Linked DNA regions of Rattus norvegicus. The protein of the gene in region 2 interacts with the protein of the main gene of each other region in a biochemical or structural test. Links are inferred from orthologs where the notes say so. Each region holds a gene or a part of one and is shown on either strand. Other genes may lie near its edges.

Region 1 (4,208 bases), on a different chromosome or scaffold from region 2:
TTAAAAGACATTCGTTTCTGCTTCAAGAAGGGTGAGACAGGGAGGAACAGAATTCCTCGTGGGCTGTGATAATCAGCAAGTTTTTAATCAAATGCAAAATACAAAAGGACAGTGGTGACTATTTTCTCCTTTACTCCTGTCTCTGTGTAAGCTGGGACTCTGAGATCCAAGGGACGCCTGGAGGCAGGTTGGACACCTAGTGGTCTAGACTCATTTCACTATCTTGGCTACGCAAGTCTTCCCAAACAGAATGCTCAGCTTCCTATTCCTGTTTCTCAGAAGGTCAAGGTTGAAGAATCTGCCTTCTGTTTTTTTTTTTGCCAAGTTGCTCCCACTTCCTACCACACTGCTTCCCTCTCTCTGCCCGGTGAAACCCAACCACACTTCAAAGCCCAGCTCAGGTGACACCTCTTCCCCTGGTCGGAGCCCTCCCTATCTTGCCCTCCCTAGCTTGCCTTGGTTTGGTACTGTCTCTCATTACTTCTTGGTGCAGTCGATAGAGCTCTTTGGTTTCCTCTTGTGAGCCTGAGCACAGTAGCAATATTCGTGGTAATCTGCAACTCCTTTCAGATCAGGACTTGTGATGACAGCTGCCAGATGGGCTCACTCTGTGTCCCACCCTCTTTGGGACTTTATCCTGATCTCTAATCTCCAGGCAAGTCTCGGTAGACAGGTATCAGTAGTATCTTCCCGTTACACAAGAGCAAAGGGTGGTCCAGAGAGGCGAAGCATCTCTCTCCAAGTCACACAACCAGGATCACACAGTTAGTATATAGCACAGCTGGGCTTGCCATATGCCACAGCTGGGGCTCTAATCACTAGACCAGCTTCTGTGCCGGCTCTCTGACTTCCTGGCCCAGCGTCTGGGGAGAGAACAGAATACATGGTGTGCTTCCCATAGTTTCGGGGGTTCACCCGCTCCCTCCCCCAAAGCCCACCCACAGGCCAGGCTTCACCGGAGTACGGTCTAGAAGCAAGCAAGGCAGTGACCTGGGCAAGAGGTAGCCTCAAGCCGGAGCCAGGGAGGGAGTCCCAGGCTGAAGAGTCCCTACTGATCCATCTATACTAGCTCGTAGCTCTGGAACAGTGGAGCAGCGTCCCGGGTCCCGAGTCCCAGGAATGTGGGAGGGCTAGGAGGGCAGGGAGGGGGCGCTTCCTCTGGCCGCGGGAGGGGAGACGCCAGAGCGTGCACCGGGCTCGCCACCGCCCACTCCCCGCCCGCCGCCAGCTCGCTGGGGGCGGGGGCCGCGGCGAGAGGGCGGCGAGGGGCCGCGGAGCACGGCAGCGGCCGGCCCGCCCGAGCGGGAGGAAGCGATGAATATTCAGAGGGGGAGGGGAGGAGAGGGGGCCGAGCGCTCCGCGCGGCTCCCTGCAGCCGGAGCCGCATGACGCGCGGAGGAGGCAGAGGGAGCAGCCGGGGCCGCGGGAGCCCGGAGCTGGACGCCACGCGCGGGGGGTGGGCGCCGCTTGCTCCGCCCCGCGAAGCCCCTGCGTGTCTAGGGCCGCGGCCGCTCCGCGTTAGGAGCGCTAGGCTCCGCCGTGTGGCCGCCGCCGCCGCCGCTGCCATGTCCCCGGGGAAGCCCGGGGCGGGCGGAGCGGGGACTAGGCGGACCGGCTGGCGGAGAAGGAGGCGGAGGCGTCGGCTGGAGGCGGAGACCAGGGCGCCCGGCTTCGGGCACACGGCGGGGCGCGTCCCGGGCACGTTCCAGGGCGCGCAGGGCATGAAGCCCGCGGCGCGGGAGACGCGGACACCCCCGCGCTCGCCCGGGCTCCGCTGGGCGCTGCTGCCGCTGCTGCTGTTGCTACGCCAGGGCCAGGTAAGCCTTCGAGTGGGCCTGGGCGTGTGGTGGGAGGACGCGGGCCGAATTGGCATCGCCTGCACCTGCCCGAGTGTCACCCGCTCCAGGAATACCCGGCGAGGGTCTAAGAGATCGTGGTCTTGAGAGCCTTCCTCCTGGAGGGGGCTGGCAGGGATCTTGGCCAGCCTCCCGCTCCCGCCACCAAGCCCCTTCCCTGACTACCGGGTGCCATGGGAAGGGCGAGATTCCGGGGTCCCTAGGGTGTTCCCCGCCGTGTCCGTTGACTCTTCCATGGAAGCTCTTGCATGGGCTGCAGGCGGCGTTGGCCCGGCCTTTCCCGGAGCTGGTCAGGTCTGGCCAGCGCGGGCCCTGCTCGCGCGCCCGAAGCGGCCGGAGGGGGCGTGTTTGCGGAGGGCTGTGGATGGGGAGCAGGGCCTGCCTGGCTGAGCCAAGGCCGACCTACGACCTGGCCTGGAGGGGCCCGGAGAGCTTGGGCGGAAGGGCAGTGGCGGTCGCCGAGTGCTTGGGGACAGGCCCTGGCGTTGGGCAGTCGGGCGGTGGGCGAAGCGCCGGACCTCAGAATGGAGGGTGCTGTTTGTGGGGAAAGTTCCCAGTCTTGCCAAGGTGGCCGCTCAAAGGGTCCCTTGAGGCTGCTGGCCCTGTTCTCATCATCGCTCCTGAGATGGTGCTGGCTTTTCTGGGTGTGTATTGGTGCTTTGTGGGCGCTAGCTAACCCCCTCCCCTCCAGACCTTTTTTTTTTTTTTTTTTTCTTGCTTCACTTTTGTTCAATAATGGTGGGACTCGAATTTTGGATCTTTTCTCTCTGTGGTATTTCGTGGCAGGAGGTGTGATGCAAGGCAGCCTGGGGACATTCCCATTTCGCAGATAGGGAACTGAGGGAGAGAAGTGAAAGAGTGGAATCACCCAGCTGGTGTTGCGGGAGCTGAGCAAGCGAGTTCTGCCTCACAGCCTTCTGGGAACTGGCTGTGGTCTTGAACCCTGCAGGCTGCAGAAAGTGGCCTGGGGGATGGATGCTCTTGTCTTAGTTTTTGCTAATGAAAGAAAGTCTCACTTTCTTCATAGATACCAGCTCCAAGCAGACAGTGAGACACAAATGAAGCAGAGGCTGGGGATGGAATTTTTCAAGGGAAAAATTCTCATGCATGCGCACTCGTACACACATGTGTACACACACACACACACACACACACACACACACACACACACACACACTCGTCCTAGAAGAAACATAGGCACTGGGCAGCGGAGCAGGCAAGCAGAAGAAGGGAGCCTGAGTCTGGAGCCTGACCTCATTGTCAGCAAGGGTCACTCAGTTTCTAGAGCAGGATTTGCACAGGACTCAAGGAGGCCTGGAATGTGGTGTTGTCCCCAGCAAATAGTTATTTACTGGAGTAGGCTGTGGGCTAAGTTTGAAGAAGAATCAGAGTTGAATTTGCCCCCTTTCCCCACTTCCACCTCTAGCAGAAAGCATCTGCAGAATGGGGGTGAGGTGGGGGGGGGGTCACATCATTTCATAGTAGAATTGCTTGTAGGGCTTCCATTGGACGTGTGTGAAAGAATTTTGTATCAGAAAAAAATCACTTTTCATAATATGCCTTTCCAGATGGGATTAACATTAAGGAACAGTGTGGATGGGCTGTCTTCACAACAGTCTTTGATGATAAAGAAAAAGGACTGCTTCATATTTGAGCTCTCCCTTTCCCCTAAGAATTCACTATGTAGACAAGGGTGGCCTCAAGCTCATTGAGATCTGTTTGCCTTCGTTTTCCATGTTCAGGGATGGCCTTGTCTTGGAACTCTCTTTAACTAAAGTTTGTATTATAGAAACATTTGAGCTACATTTCTCTTTAGTTTAATTTGATATATATATATATATTACCTACTTTTGTTTCAACTATAGACGTTGCAAGCTGTGCTTTGAATCAGCAAAAAGTATCTTGGGTAAATTTATTTCTTGCCCAACCCTTCCTTGTGTTTCTTTAGCACATTGCTACTCGACTCTTGCCTTGTATGTGCTCTAATTTCCTTCCTCTAGTTTGTTCTGTAGAAACTCAAGAGTACTGTCTTCATATTCTTCTTTTTGTGTTTATTACAAAATAGGAAATGTAAAAGGTTTTGTGAAGAAATACCTCCAAAACTCATATTCAGCAGTTTCGTTTTGATATGGACTATTACAGGGAATTGGCGCCCCCCCCCCCTCTCTCTTGTGCGGCGCTGGGCATGGAACCCAGGGTGGGGGATATGTTCTACCGCTGAGTTATATTCTCAGTCCCAAAAAAGCACTGCGCTTTTGAATTGACTCAGAGATAGTTTCAGGGGCTGGCAGGATGGCTCATTGAGTAAGAGTGTTTGCTGCACAGGCATGAGGACTTGAGTTCAAATTCCTA
Region 2 (4,251 bases):
TTCCAGAGGTCCTGAGTTCAATTCCCAGCAACCACATGGTGGCTCACAACCAACTGTAATGGGATCTGATGCCCTCTTCTGGTGTGTCTGAAGACAGCTACAGTGTACTCACATACATGAAATAAATAAATCTTTAAAAAAAATTTTTAGCATTCTTATGGTAACATCTTTGCTTACCTAACCATCTTACTAGCCTCGATCCAGGGTCTTGATTTTGCTGTTTGGCACGCGCACGTGTGTGTGTGTGTGTGTGTGTGTGTGTGTGTGTGTATCTGTGTCTGTGTGTGTCTGTGTGTGTGTCTGTGTGTGTGTAAGAGAGAGAGAGAGAGAGAGAGAGAAACAGATTGTACATTTTAATTGATTTAGTTATCTTTGTTCACAGTTATCACCCTTTCCCTCCTTCTCATATGAAGTGGGCTGGGTTGCATGTCCTCCAGGCAATAACACTGGGTCTCAGAACACACCTGAGCCCACTGCAGGCCTGCCTCTTCACAGGAGCATACCTGACTTCACAGCTTTCTAGTGCTGCCTGCCATCCACCACCCTTCAGACTGCTTCCTCACTATAACACTTAGGATAAGCCCACCACCACCACAGGGGGGCCCAGCAAACGTGGGTACTTCCTACCAAGTCTGACAGCCCAAGTCGGATACCTAGGACCTGCACAGCAGAAGGAATCTGATATCCTCTGATCTCCACACAGGCTCTGTGACATACTCATGCCCCAACACACAAAATTAATAAATGTGGCAAATAAACGAATAAGAAATTATGGAATCTGGGCATTGTGATACAGTCTTTAATCCCAGCACAGGGGAGTTAGTATGCTGAGGCCAGCCTGGTCTACATAGTGGGTTCCAGGACAGCCAGTTCCATGTCAAGAGACCCTCTTAGAAAAAGGAAGAAAGAAAGAAAGGAAGGAAGGAAGGAAGGAAGGAAGGAAGGAAGGAAGGAAGAAACGAAGGAAGGAAGAGAAAAAAAGAAAAAAAAAGAGAGAGAGAAGATGGAAATGTGGCTCAGTGATAGGATTCTTGCCTAACATCCAGAATCTGCATGATGGCTCAGGCCTAAAGGTAGGAGGATGTGGCCAACCTCCACCACATAGAACCTTTGGGGCTGGCCTGGATTAATACTGTCTGCGTAAATGAAACAAAAAGTGAGAGGCAGGTCTCCAAAGTTTAGGGGTGGGTTCCCTCAGCATCACTCAGGGCCACTGGCCCCTGGGGCTGCAGTACTCTCTAGGCAGACTAAAGTACCCTAGTGGCCAAGGCAAGGAAGGAACAGCGTAACTAGGCGGGAAAGCCGGGCGCGCTCTCAGTAGACCACGTGACATCGCGGGCCCGCGCAGGCTCGCCGGGCAGGCGCGGGGGCGGGGCGCGCGGGGGCGGGGGCGGAGCCTGGCGCGCGGCCCCGCGGTGACAGGGCGGCAGGGAGGGGCGGGGCCGCGGGCGGGGCAGCGGGGGGAGGCGGGAGGAGTGGAGATGGCGGCGGCGGCGGCGGCTCCGGGGGGCGGGGGCGGGGAGCCCAGGGGAACTGCTGGGGTCGTCCCGGTGGTCCCCGGGGAGGTGGAGGTGGTGAAGGGGCAGCCATTCGACGTGGGCCCACGCTACACGCAGCTGCAGTACATCGGCGAGGGCGCGTACGGCATGGTCAGGTGAGGGGGTGTCCCAGGAGGGGGCTTCAGAGCGGGGACAGCAGGTGCGTGCCCGGGACATGGGGTCCGGGGAGTGTCGCAGGGGAGGGATCGTGCAGTGACTTCTGGGGGACCAGGAGCTACTTTCTCCGGGAAGGGGGGTTGGAGGCTTGGAAGCCACCTTGTATTGTTAAGGGAGGGGCACCTGGGGGACCCTAGAGATACAGGTGGAGCTAAGAGGATGACTATTCTTGGTGAAGGGGGAGTGAGAGACCCATAAGCAGGTAGTGGGAGCCTTGGTTCCCCCCTGATGAGGTTGTGACAGAGTTTGAGAGAGCAGAGCAAAGCTCAGGGTGGGGCAAACCTTTGCACCCCTGCCCCTGGCCTTGCCAGAGGCCCAAAGTAGGGAGGGGTCTCTAGAATGTGCCTTATTTTGTGGGATACAGGTTTGTGAGTTCTCGCTGCCCCACTCTGTGCTCTGGGCCTTTGTTCCTATGGGAACAGCTCTGACCCAGGAACCTCACCGGGAGACAGACCTACCCCTTCTTATCTCTTCCCCTGTCCCATTACTGAATCCTCTGGGTTTCATCCACTCTCTCCATTTAACTCCCATCCCCTGGACCTGTCTTGGATTGAGAGAGTCCAGCTCAGGAAAGGGGAGGAGGGTGAGGGCAACTACAATGTAAGAGGGTCCAGGAGAAAGGAAGTCAGTGAGTGGCCACTCTCTTCCTCTGTTTGTGAAGTCACTGAAAGGCTGCCTGGCTGGTCCCCAGCTTTCCCCCTGGAGATTCCAGGCCTTCACAGCAGGAAGGAGCCAGCATTGTTTACACTTGGCCAGAACCCTCTCCTGCTCTCTCCGGTCCCTGCCAAGGCCTGGGTGGGGCCACCAGGCCTGGATTCCCCCTTTGTAAGGCCACACATCTCTCTGGCTCTCTCAGCTCAGCATATGACCACGTGCGCAAGACCAGAGTGGCTATCAAGAAGATCAGCCCCTTCGAGCATCAAACCTACTGTCAGCGCACGCTGAGAGAAATCCAGATCTTGCTGCGATTCCGCCATGAGAATGTCATAGGCATCCGAGACATCCTCAGAGCACCCACCCTGGAAGCCATGAGAGATGTGTATCCTTTAGCCACAGCTCCAGAGCGAGGCTAAGGAGCTTGGCTTTGCTTTCTGTTGTCGTCTGTTGTGCCACCCTCAAAAAAAAAAAAAAAAAAAAAAACCAAAAAAAACCAAAAAACTTAAAAACCCAGCAAAGTAACTTTTTAGCTGAGAGTCTACGGAGCAGAAGAGCACCCTGGCAGGCCTTGGATCCTGGTCTGTTGCAGCCAAGTGGAGTGGCCTTGAACACATCCTTTTCTGCTCTGTGCCCCAGTATGGTGTGTGGGGAGGGGAGAATGCTGGGCAAACCATCTCTATGGGAGCTTTGTCTTCTGACATCTGCAGTTCTGTGACATGACCCAGTCTCTGCCCACAGCCCTTTCTTGCTCAACAGACTCACGATTCTTTAGAGACCTCACACTGGATTGAAAGCGAGGAAGAAAACCAGCATTGGGCATGCCTAGCGCTTTGGTTCTAATTCAACCTTTTAGCTTCCCTGTGTGATGAGCTTTACCGCGTCCATTTCTAAGATGAGGAAACTGAGGCTCTGTGTTTTGCTGGGCCTTCTGTGGGGGAGGGGCGATACTTTCTCCAACGTGGAGAGGGTGGAGGCTTTCACACCACCTTGCATTGTTAAGAGGAGGAACCTGAAGACCCTAGACTCACAGGGCGGAGCCACGCCTTTGCACTCCTGGTCTAGCCAGGGGCTCAAGGAAGGACGAGGGGCCCTGAGAGTCTGCCTATAGAAGAAAGCCTAAATTCAGCTGTTCCTGTTTGTTGCTTCCTCTTCTTCCCCAGTTGGCTTTCTTGGAGCCTTCCCACTCTTCTGAGAGCCCCACCCTGATTACCTGCGGCCTTGTACCTTGACCAGGAAAGGTAGTCCAGCCCTTGTTGCCCTTGCTTGACACTGCTTGCCTAGTTCAGACATTTAGTTCATTGTCCACATGTACTTCCTGCTTGGCGCCATTGCTAGTAGACTGTAGCACCCATGGCCTCTTCCCTACCCACCCCTCCCGATCCCAGGATTTGTTCTGCAGCCTCTGCAGCTCTGACCACAGGAAATCGACTACTCCTGTCTTGTTGCATGACCTTCAGCAGGTCTCTGCACCTCCGGACTTCCACATTTGTAAAGCGGCAGGGTTGGTCCATGTGTGTGTATCTGCATATGCTTGTTCTCTCTTCTTCTTTTTGAGAAAGGGTCTCCCTATGTAGACCAGGCTAGCCCTGAACTCATAGAGATCCTGGGTGCCACCAGCCCCAGCTCTCACATGTCTTCTGTGGAAGACAGTTCAGACTTCATTTTTTGAGAAAGTGTCACTGTGTATCCCTGGTTGGCCTCAGGCTAACTCTGTAGACCTGGCTGGCTTTAAACTTCTAGGCAAGCCTCTGGCCTCTGCTTCAAGTGCTGAGATTGTAGGAGTGACGTACTCTGCCCAGCTCCTGATTACTCTTCCAAAGATAAGCCAGATGACATTTGTTTGTGTTTAGTCTTTGTTTTATCTTCAAGTATAAAAGGA

The links. The genes of interacting proteins can lie anywhere in the genome.
Region 1: of the proteins of Mapk3 (region 2) and Ptprj, one has a biochemical effect on the other in vitro, tested with the Homo sapiens proteins (2 studies listed by IntAct, with this or other methods). The link is inferred for Rattus norvegicus from reciprocal best matches to the Homo sapiens genes MAPK3 and PTPRJ.

What each region holds. Positions count from the first base shown.
Region 1 is NC_086021.1:97,014,826-97,019,033, reverse strand, and holds the start of Ptprj (receptor-type tyrosine-protein phosphatase eta isoform 2 precursor), read left to right. Parts: upstream 1-1,377; 5' UTR 1,378-1,385; coding exon of another isoform or gene 1,386-1,721; coding exon 1,722-1,817; intron 1,818-4,208. UniProt on the Homo sapiens protein: Tyrosine phosphatase which dephosphorylates or contributes to the dephosphorylation of CTNND1, FLT3, PDGFRB, MET, KDR, LYN, SRC, MAPK1, MAPK3, EGFR, TJP1, OCLN, PIK3R1 and PIK3R2. Plays a role in cell adhesion, migration, proliferation and differentiation.
Region 2 is NC_086019.1:190,795,747-190,799,997, forward strand, and holds the start of Mapk3 (mitogen-activated protein kinase 3), read left to right. Parts: upstream 1-1,447; 5' UTR 1,448-1,481; coding exon 1,482-1,654; intron 1,655-2,571; coding exon 2,572-2,754; intron 2,755-4,251.